Linked DNA regions of Caenorhabditis elegans. The protein of the gene in region 1 purifies or fractionates together with the protein of each later gene. This does not show direct contact. Each region holds a gene or a part of one and is shown on either strand. Other genes may lie near its edges. The genes, in order: fld-1 and vdac-1.

The links.
Region 2: the proteins of fld-1 (region 1) and vdac-1 fractionate together in Caenorhabditis elegans (co-fractionation; one large-scale study listed by BioGRID). This does not show direct contact.

Annotation. Positions count from the first base shown.
Region 1 is NC_003279.8:14,112,412-14,119,297, forward strand, and holds fld-1 (TLC domain-containing protein fld-1), read left to right. Parts: upstream 1-1,782; 5' UTR 1,783-1,795; coding exon 1,796-1,858; intron 1,859-2,073; coding exon 2,074-2,301; intron 2,302-2,755; coding exon 2,756-2,911; intron 2,912-4,353; coding exon 4,354-4,479; intron 4,480-4,527; coding exon 4,528-4,616; intron 4,617-4,668; coding exon 4,669-4,777; intron 4,778-4,871; coding exon 4,872-4,992; intron 4,993-5,295; coding exon 5,296-5,390; intron 5,391-5,715; coding exon 5,716-5,781; 3' UTR 5,782-6,239; downstream 6,240-6,886. Other genes in the region: dnj-29 (J domain-containing protein), read right to left, coding at 165-320, 381-496, 557-680; ndua-2 (NADH dehydrogenase [ubiquinone] 1 alpha subcomplex subunit 2), read left to right, coding at 1,225-1,397, 1,442-1,508, 1,554-1,592; mys-2 (Histone acetyltransferase), read left to right, coding at 6,347-6,502, 6,626-6,792. UniProt on the Caenorhabditis elegans protein: Regulates the composition and fluidity of the plasma membrane. Inhibits the incorporation of membrane-fluidizing phospholipids containing omega-3 long-chain polyunsaturated fatty acids (LCPUFA) and thereby promotes membrane rigidity.
Region 2 is NC_003282.8:7,505,921-7,509,780, reverse strand, and holds vdac-1 (putative voltage-dependent anion-selective channel), read left to right. Parts: upstream 1-1,889; 5' UTR 1,890-1,892; coding exon 1,893-1,956; intron 1,957-2,029; coding exon 2,030-2,170; intron 2,171-2,337; coding exon 2,338-2,507; intron 2,508-2,664; coding exon 2,665-2,922; intron 2,923-2,968; coding exon 2,969-3,187; 3' UTR 3,188-3,360; downstream 3,361-3,860. Other genes in the region: plc-4 (Phosphoinositide phospholipase C), read left to right, coding at 1-103; R05G6.5 (Uroporphyrinogen-III synthase), read right to left, coding at 306-344, 396-511, 563-642, 820-1,007, 1,055-1,198; Putative sodium-dependent excitatory amino acid transporter glt-6, read right to left, coding at 3,493-3,771, 3,816-3,860. UniProt on the Caenorhabditis elegans protein: Forms a channel through the cell membrane that allows diffusion of small hydrophilic molecules. Plays a role in maintaining mitochondrial morphology.

The DNA.
Region 1 (6,886 bases):
CTCAACCAAAAATTAAAACAATTTTTTCATCTAAAATACTTGGAAACTGCATTTTTCGAGGTAAAAAACAGTAAAAAGTTCGATTTTCTTCGATTTTCAAGCTGAAAAATGTCGAAAATAGGGGTTTCTCAGTAAAAAATCGCCGAAATTCCAATTTCCAGCACCTTTGACATATCTCTCCAGGCCTTTTTGATGGCCTTCTCGTCGGCGCCCTGATCCAGACCCAAAATCTGATACGGGTCATAGTCCTTGTGAGTTTGCTCGATTTCAGTCGTTTTTTTCACAATTATCGCGAAAATTGCCCACGCTACAACGAGAACCTGCAATTTTTTGGGATTTTTAGTGGATTTTTTCCGGATTTTTCAGTTTTAAAGCCTTACAACGATGGTAATAATCTTTTTAGTCCGTCGCCACGGCTTATTCGCCGCTTTTTGTCGTCTTTTCTTGTCACAACCGTCGCATTGGCACTCGTGTTCGTTGATCACGTGTTCTGGTTCTAAAAATACGAAAAAATACGAAAAAATTATGAATTTTAAGCCAAAAAATCGATTTTTACCTGGTTTCGAGGCTCCTGGAAGGCATAGGTAGGTCGCCGGGAACAGAATAATCGCGTAGAATGCCACGAGCACATAGTAAAATGTGTTGCCGACTTCGTCGTACTCAAACGACGCGCGGCCCATTTTTTAGCGATTAATTACTGTAAAAATAGTGATTTTTTGAGTTTATCAAGTGGTTTTTCGTTTGAAAATATCGAAAATAACGTTGAAAAACTGAAAAAATGTGCGATGACGTGACACTTCGATTTGCAGTGTCTTCCGCAAAACTGTGCGGCGGTGTTGCAAAATTGCGTGCGCCACTTGCAAAAAGGGGCGGAGTCATTGGTTTTTGATGATTTTAATGGGTTTTTCGTGATTTTTAACTCAAAAAATTGAGAAAAAACTTGTTTTAGCACTAAAATTTGATAGATTTAGCAAAATTTAGGCAAATTTCCTAAAATATCAGCAATTTTCAAAGACTTTGCTCAAAAAACATGAAAACAGCAAAACTGTGCGTAGGAGTTGCAAAATACCGCGCGCCGCGCTTGCCAAAGTGGGCGGGATCACGGGTTATTTATTTTTATAATAAATTTCGAAAAAAATAATCGGTTTTTGTTGGTTTTATTGGATTTTTCTGCATTTTTTAAAGTTTTTTTTTGATTTTAAAGCTTAAAATATCGATTTTCAGATGTCTGTCCGTCTTGCCGGCACCGCTCTTCGCGAGATTCGCATCCACGTCTGCCAGAAAAGTCCAGCATCGGCGGGAGTCCGCGCGTTCATCGAAAACGACTATGTTGGAATCAAAAAAGCCAATCCACAGTTCCCAATTCTGATTCGTGAGGCGTCTGGCATCGTGCCAAGGTGGGAAATTATCGATTTTTGGGTGAAATTGCGGTTTTTTGCAGAGTTTTCGCCAGATACGAGCACGGAGTTGAGCGAGTCGCCACTTTGGAGGATTTGTCGAGAGAAAATGTAGGATTTTTGGTGGAATTTAATGCCGAAAATCGATATTTTCAGGTCAAATCTACTATTACTCAATTGGCGTCCCAGAAATAACCTGGCGAAGAGTTTAGAGTCGAAAAAAAATTCTAATTTTTTAATTTTTCCTGTAGAAATTCATTGAATAAATCGTTTTTATAGCTTTTTTAAGCGAATTTTTTTGAATTTTCCGGGTATTTTCACCCAAAAACCTACTGTTTTACCTATTTTTCCGTAATATTTCCAATTTTTATCAGTTTTTTTTCAGACAGTTCTGGAAAATGCGGCAGCTGGCGGAGCTGTTGACGGATCTTCTTGGCCCAGTGCCAACAATGTTTTTATGGGTAAGAAATTCGAAATTTCAAATAATTTCAAATAAAACTCAAAAAAAAATTAATTTTTTAAATAATTTTTCGTGAAAAATTAATTATTATTTATTTCTAATTTTCCAATGAAATCAACAACGATTTCTTCGATTATTTTTGTGAGTTTTCACTCAAAAAATGCCAAAAACCCCCGATTTTCTGCGAATTTAGGCCCAAAAATCCATTTTCTCCAGGTAATCGTCTCATTTGCCTTCTTCCGAGCCCTGCAATTCATCGTTCGTTGGTACTTATTTGGCAAATGGACGTGGCCGAACTTTAACTTTTTCGACATCCGAAACCGCATTCGGAGGAGACGGAGAGGCGGTCAAGAAGCTGAAAATACTGAAAATCCGCCTGAAAATGAGGCAGAAGCCGGCGAGCAGGTCGAACAGGAGCCCGAGCCCGACAGCAGAGATCTGTCGGTGAGAATTCAGAAATTTACTGCAAAAAAAATCCAAAAACTAGGAAGTTTGAGCTAAAAAAGCAGTTTTTTTTTTCGAAATTTGAGCATTTTTTGTTGAAAAATATCGATTTTACAGCATTTTAAGCAGTTTTTCATCAAAAAAAAAGTTGGTTGAGGCTACACAAATTTGTAGTTTTTAGTCTTAGCCTCAACCAATCAGCTTTTGCTTCAAAACGCCGAAAATTGTTGAAATTTCTATCAAAATCGCTTATTTCTAGAGTTTCTACTACAAGTTTCAATAAAAACTTTACAAAAACGTTGAAATTCTTTCCCAAAACTCCTGAAAAGTGCTCAAAACTTGGTTGAGGCTACACAAACTTGTAGTTTGTAGTCTGAGCCTCAACCAAATCAGCAAATCAGCCAGAAAATATAAATTTTTCCGAATTTTTACCTAAAAACTCCACATTTTCCAGGCTATCCCACCGAATAAGAAATGGCGAATCTCCAACGAATGTGTCTCACTATTCCACTCGGTTATATCAGGATTATGGGCCGCCTACGCACTTTTATACTATAAACAGCTCGTTCAGGACCTCGTTAATTATCGATGTGACGTTGCAATCAATTTGGTTAGATTTTAGCGAGAAAATTCGGAAAAAATGACTAAAAAACTCGAATTTCGAATAAAAAAAACCAAAAAAATTGGTTGAGGCTACACAAACTTGTAGTTTGTAGTCTATAGCCTCACTCAATGAAATCAATCAATTTTCCCCACAAATAATGCAATTTAGTGCTAAAAATTGGCAATTTTTCAACTTTTCTCAACCAATTTGTGAGTTCTGTCCATATTTTGAGGAAAAAAAATCAAAAAATGTCGATTTTGTAACAAAAAAGCACGGAAAACGTTGGTTGAGGCTGAACCGAATTTGTAGTTTGTAGTCCCATCGCTTCAACCATCATTGAGTCACGAAGAGACTACAAAATACAAAAGTTGAACGTTTTTGCTCAAAATGTTGCGATTTTCATCGAATTTTGTTCGTTTTTCTGCAATTTTCGCCGATTTTTTTGTGAGAAATTGCCAAAAATTTCGAATTTTCAAGAAAGTTCCGAGTGAATTAGTGAAAAAAAATTTGTTGAGGCTCTCAAGTTTTTATAGTTTGTAGTCTATAGCCTCACTCGACGAAAAAATCAAATTTTCTTCACAAATAATGCAGTTTTGTGCTGAAAATAGTGTATTTTTCACATTTCCTGCCTATTTTTTAAGAAAAAATGATTTAAAAATTCAAAAAATCTCGATTTTCTACCAAAAAAGCATTGAAAACGTTGGTTGAGGCTCTCAATTTTTTGTAGTTTGTAGTCTTAGCCTCACTCAACGAAAAAATACAATTTTCCCCACAAATGATGCAATTTAATGCCAAAAAGTGTCCCTTTTTCAACTTTTCTCAACCAATTTGTGAGTTCTGTCCATTTTTTGTGAAAAAAATAACGATTTTTTGATAAAAAGGCATTAAAAACGTTGGTTGAGGCTGAGATACTTGTAGTTTGTAGTCTATAGCCTCACTCAACCAAAAAATCCAATTTTCCCCACAAATAATGCAGTTTTGTGCTGAAAATAGTGTATTTTTCACATTTCCTGCCTATTTTTACAAGAAAAAATTGTTAAAAAATTCAAAAAATCTCGATTCTCTACCAAAAAAGCATTAAAAACGTTGGTTGAGGCTGAGATACTTGTAGTTTGTAGTCTATAGCCTCACTCAACCAAAAAATCCAATTTTCCCCACAAATAATGCAGTTTTGTGCTGAAAATAGTGTATTTTTCACATTTCCTGCCTATTTTTACAAGAAAAAATTGTTAAAAAATTCAAAAAATCTCGATTCTCTACCAAAAAAGCATTAAAAACGTTGGTTGAGGCTCTCAATTTTTTGTAGTTTGTAGTCTATAGCCTCACTCAACCAAAAAATTTTCACGTTTTTTTTTCGATTTTTTCTACAAATTTCGAAATTTTTCCATTTTTTCAAGCTTCTCGCTTGTAGTTTGTAGTCCAAGCCCAACTGAATTCAAAATTTTCAGGTTCTAATGTCTGCGGGATACCTTTTCCACGATCTCGTCGATCTTCTGGTCAATGAGCAATCCGCCAGAATTATCGAGCTTCTTTTCCATCATGTTGTCGTTCTTTCCGCGTTCGCCGTCACAATGGTGAGGGTTTTCTGCTGAAATCCCCCAAAAAACCCAATTTTTTTGCAGTTTTTCAACCGATTCCTCGGCGTCGTTGTGTTCGGATTGCTCATGGAGCTCAACTCGATTTTCCTGCACTCGAGGAGCTTGTTGAACTTGTAATTTCAGCGATTTTTCCGTGATTTTCAGCCAAATCACCTATTTTTCCAGGTACGGAGTCGACAAGAAGAGCCCATCGTTCCGTATAATCGCTCTGCTCAATATGGTGACACTTTTCGCGTTCCGTCTCTGCGTTTCTGCGTATTTAGTCTATTTTGTGGTGAGATTTTGTGCATTTTTCAGTGGAAAAATCGAGTTTTCGATGATTTTTTCACTAAAAACACGGCAAAATTTGCACAATTTCCATGTTCCAGGTGGTCTCAATTCCGGATCTCGAGTGGTATGTATCAATTATTAACGGTCTAGTCATCGCCTCGCTCGCCTCCACAAATACAGTGCTCACTTACCGGCTTTTGGCAGCTGATGGGCTTTTGGGTGAGATTTTTAAGTTTTTAACTGAAAAATTCGGAATTTTCAGCCGAATTTTAGTCGAAACGCCGAACTTTTGAAGAAAAAACGATTTTTTCGAAGGAAAAAGCGAGAAAAAAGTTGGTTGAGGCTGTAGACTACAAACTACAGAACCAGTATAGCCTCAACCACGATGGTTGAGGCTCAGAGGACTTTGTGTAGTTTGTAGTCTTCGAGCCTCAACCATTGTTTTGGAGAAAAAATGCTTTAGAAAACTCCAATTTTCCTTTTTTTTTTCCTTTTTTTTTAAACAATTTTCGATATTTTCAGGCTCCCGACGTACACGAAGAACCCCCGCAGCTACCGCAGAAACACAAGTTGGTGACGTGGAAAGTGGTCCGCTTAGGACACAAGTTGAGGATGAGGTTCGAAATTTTGGATTTTCTCACCCCAAAATTCATCAGTTTTGCGAAATTTTAGTGAAAATTCGAGAAAAATTCGATGAAAATCGCGAAAATTTCAAGCGAAAACCAATTGGTTGAGGCTGAGCTGAATTTGTAGTTTGTAGTCTCTTAGCCTCACTCAAAGATGGTTGAGGCTCAAAGACTACAAACTACAAAAACATCGATTTCTAGGTCATTTTCACGTGATTTTCTCGAATTTTTCACTCATTTCCCGTTTAGATTTCTCGCAAATCGAGCATAATGACTACAAACTACAATTTAAGTCAATTTATTTGTTTTGTTGCAGGACCATCACACAATCGGAGTGCAAACGATTCATGGAACAACAGAAGACGCGACACAAACTGTTTGAACTCACCCCGCCGCTCCCCCAATTGTACCTATTTATCTGTTAAAAATTGAAATTCTTCGGTTTTTTGGTGATTTTTAAGCGAAAAATCGCGAAAATTTGATAAAAATTGGGTGAGGCTCGCCAAATTTTGTAGTTTGTAGTCTATAGCCTCACCCAACAGATTTTCCACCAAAAATCGACGTTTTCAGTACTTTTTCCTGCTTTTTTTGCCATTTTTTTTTCTGTATCTACCGTAATACTTGTTATTTATTGATTTTTCCCCCCATTTTTTAGCCCCAAATTTTTACCAAATCACTCATTCCATGTCTATCTTGGCCGCGCACCAAAGATGCAAACTGTCATTTTGATGATATCACGAAGTTCCACGACGCTTTTCTCTGCTTACAGTATTTATTTTTTTAAATTTTTTTTTTCACACGAAATTGACTCTAATTTATATTAAAAATACTCGATTTTTGATTTTTGAAAATTTAAATTTTTAAATTTTTAACTGTAATTTACGGTGTTTTATATCGAATTTTTCGACCCGATTTTCAGCCGATTTCAGCAAAAATTTCCAGACAAAATGAGCAAACGAGAGCCGAGGAAACGAGCACACGACTCAACAAATGAGGCAGCTGCTCCCGGCGGAAATGACAGTGAACCCCCGCAACAACAAATAATGCCAATAATTAACAAACGATATATGGTCGAGAAATTCATTATTAATACTGTGAAAAAGGTTCGGAAATCGCTTTTTTTTTTTTTGTGAAAAAATCGATTAAAAACCAGAAATTATTGTTGATTTTTCCTGAAAATTTTCGAGAAAAATCTCTTTTTTTTCCATTAAAAATCAAATTTCCAGGTGGTCGCCGTAATTATACACATTGATTTTCGAAAACCGCCGCAAGAAGTCCGCACGAATAACTATAAATCCATTGAGAATCACGAGCAAGGAGCGAAAGAGCTCATGTATTATGTGCATTATGAGGAGTTGGATCGGAGGAATGATGAATGGATTACGCTGGACAAGTTCGTGTGGAGAAAATTGCAGAAAAATGGGCAAAAATCTATGAAAATCGCGAAATTTCGAGCAAAAACGTATTTTGGTTGAGGCTGAGAAATG
Region 2 (3,860 bases), on another chromosome or scaffold:
TCGTACAGGTTTCTCGCAAATTCAACTAAATACCGGATATCAACATACTCTGGACCCATCTGCATCTCTTTTTGTACGAATTGCAATGGAGGAAGAGTACTAATTCTCCTGCTTTTTAAACATATTTTTGAGACCAAAGCCGTTTTTATCACTACCTGTGTGTTATCTGATTACATGTAATATATGTTCTACTGCCCTTTCTTTCGCATAGTTTTGTAGTTAATTTTTAATGCATATTTTTAAAAAATTTATTGTTTTATTGGTTTATGGGTATTTACACTATATTATTTTTTAGAAACATAAACTTATTGGCGTAGTTGGTGTAGATAATCTGCGAGCCATTTCTGAAAGAGTCAAAAAAATCATGTTACTAAATGGTGTATTCGAAAACAAACAATTGGATTATCCGGTCTCTCAACTGCTACGCGAGCCAGTCCCTGGCTCAGTTTCGGCCATACTTCTACTGAGAGATAATCCTTGGCATGTTTCAGCATTGCTCTTTCGTCAATGTCTGAATATATTTTTATGGGAGAGTCAAAATTCTAACTTTATGGAATCTTACACTTGGGGAAAAAGAAAATTATATCGTGATAGGCGGCAATTGTCGTTTTTGAATAATATATTCCATCACTTGAACTCATTCTGAATTAAACGCTTGTGAAGTTTTAAAACTCTTCGGATAGATTTTTTGAAAAACCTCCAAAAGTGTGAAGGTTTCGTACCGAAACGAGACTACGGTAACGGTTATTTTCAACTGTGCGCAATGTTTTTCTTCCATTGTTTTTCAGTATTTTCGGATGTTTGTTGGTCTTTGCTCACCTCTTAGCGATCACATTGTGATATTTGGCCACTTCTTTCATCTCAATAAAAGCATTCGCTCGTTGACACAATAGTAACATGCATGGTCCGTCTATTAGCCTGTCTGATAAGTTCCAGATATCTTGGGATTCAAGATCAGCACTTTTCCACTCCATGACTTCTTCAGTTTTAAAATGCTTCACAGTTTTCTAAATAATCAGTTTCTTCTTCTTTAATTTTCATATATACAACTTACCTCTATAATCCCGAAGTTTTCTTTTGTTATGTGCTTCAGTACGGATTCATATTCATAGAAATAGTTCGGCAGAATAATTACAATTATTCTATCGACTAGGTTTGGATTTTCCAGTTGTGGCTTAGAGACTTCCGAGCGGTACATTTCGAATAGGTTAGATGCAAGTGACAGAAGTGAACTGAATTCGCTGAACCAGGTGATGCGGAAACTATTTGGATTTGTGCTCAATTTCCGGTACCATTTCCTGGTTTAACGCTAAATTTGAGATTTCTTGCTAATTTCATTTTGTTTCGTTAGTCAATATTTCTTTCATTGCATCAAATCTTTTCTTCTCAGTGCATCATTCAATTTTGAAAAACTGCCAAAATAATCCAGTACTTTTGGAAGCGGAGCGGTCGCGCTGCAGTAACCAGTCTCTGTGCCTCTCATTTTCGTCCTATGTCTCGAGACGGGCGGTCGCCGCGCCAATGTGCTTGCCTTTGAACTCTCAATTTGCTGTTGTGGCGTGATCTGTCCTTTCTCTATCGCATTCAATGTTTTCGATACCGTCGGAGTTTTATGTTACAAATGTTTGCTTCTGAATTTCCCGATAAGATAATTGTAAATCATTTAACTGAAACCCTGAATATATTTTTTGGCGATGTTGTGTTTTCTGGCGCATTGTTTATCGACTTCCTACTGCTGCCATTGAGTTGGTTTATCTCTTTCTTTCCGTTTTTCTCGTATGCACTGCTCAATGCAAACATTTTCAAAGCCTTCATTTTTCGAAAATTTCCTATTTTCCTTCTCTCGTGTAACTCTAGAATGCATGTTTCAAAAAATATTTTGTGTTTAGAAAATGGCCCCACCAACCTTCGCTGATCTTGGAAAGTCCGCCAAGGACCTCTTCAACAAAGGATACAGTAAGTTTCAATTTTATCTTTGTAGAGAGGAATAGTGTTAGGTCATTTATTCGCCTGATTAATTTTTTTCCAGACTTTGGATTCCTCAAGATCGACTCCACCACTAGAGCTGGAGACAACAAGGAGGTTGAGTTCAAATCAGCCGCTTCTCACAATATCGGATCCGGAAAGCTTGGAGGAAATCTCGATGTCAAGTACAAGATCCCACAATACGGTAAGCTCGTCTGAACATCTTATTGTCTACCCGCTAGATGGGGACAACCTCGTGACGCAGGTGATGCAATTGTATGTACTCTAAAACACCACGTGACGTCTAGCGACCGCTCAACAAAAATACAACATATTGTGTGAGAGATATCAATCATGTTGTTTCGTTTTCAGGAATCACTTTGACCGAGAAATGGAACACCGAGAACCAGCTCGGAACTGTTATCGAAGTTAATGAGCAATTCGGACGTGGACTCAAGGTCACTCTCGATTCTCTTTATGCCCCACACGCCGGAAAGAGAAGCGGAAAAGTGAAGCTCGACTGGGCTCTCCCAACTGCTAGAGTGAGTAGTCTTGTACATATTTTGGGTGATAAGATTGGCGAAGCTCGTCTCAAGCTTGACTGGAAGCATGATTGTTTCAGGGTTCGATTTTCTGAATGTAGAAATAGAGATTTCAAAAATCCATCTTTGTGAAATGAAACAAATTAGCCATTTACAGGTTACCGCTGATGTTGGAGTCACCTCTGCTCCAGTTATCAACGCTGCCGGAGTCTTCTCCCGTGACGGATGGCTCATCGGAGCTGCCGCCACCTTCGATTCTTCATCGAATAAGTTGGCAGCCACTTCTTTGGCTTTCGGACACTCCACTCCACAATACACCCTCCACTCTTTCGTTATTAACTCAACCGACTTCGGAGCTTCCCTTTACCACAAGGTTGCCTCCAACGTCGAGGTTGGAACTCAACTCGGATGGAAGGTAAACTTTTTAAAATCCTAGAACCAAAACTAAAGTGAATTTTCAGGTTGGTGGAAACGGAGCTGACTACGCTCTCGCCACCAAGTATGCTCCAAGCCGTGACCTTACTGTCCGCGCCAAGGTCAACAGCTCTTCCCAAGTTGCCGTTGCTGCCACACACTCCTTGTCTCCAGCTCTTAAGCTGACACTTTCCACTCAATTCAACCTTGCTGCCAATGATGCTCACAAGTTCGGACTTGGACTCGAATTCGATCCATCCAACTAGATCTTCCGATCACTTCCATTCTCCCATCAATAGCGTTCTTAAAATTCTTTTAGTCCTCAACCGTTGATTTTTCAATGTCGATTTATGTTCTCTAAACTTCGAAAAAAAAGAAATGTCATGCGCTATTTACTTTTCTGCTAAATTTTACAAACATAAATTATTGAGTTTCATCAGTGGCTTAAAATAGTAAAAATGATATGTACAAAACAATCCATGGGTTCTCGCGGAAAGAGGAGAGAATAACCGTTTTCTGTTTTGGAATGGAAAAGTGACATGGACAAAAAATGTAAATATTGATCATGGAACTACACGTTTTCATCGTTGGGCAGAGGTGTGTATGGTGGTTCAATGTTATTATTACGCCAGGAAAGATGCAAGTTGGTGGATGAAGGACGACGAGAGCCAATTCGTGATCCAATTCTTGAGTTTCCAGCTGTGTTCGCGTGTGTCAAGAAGAGCTCCTTAGAAGCTTCTGACATTGTGAATGATGGTCTTCTACTGGTGGCAGCTGACTTCAATAGTTCAATTTCTCCTTTCAGTTCAGTCTTATAATCGTGACGAGCGTCTGCTTGATCCAGCTTTTTCTTAAAATATACAATTGTCTCCAAGTTCGAGTTTTCTATCAAACCTGCAATAAATGCTGAACCATTGAAGCAGCAAACGCATCCCCTAG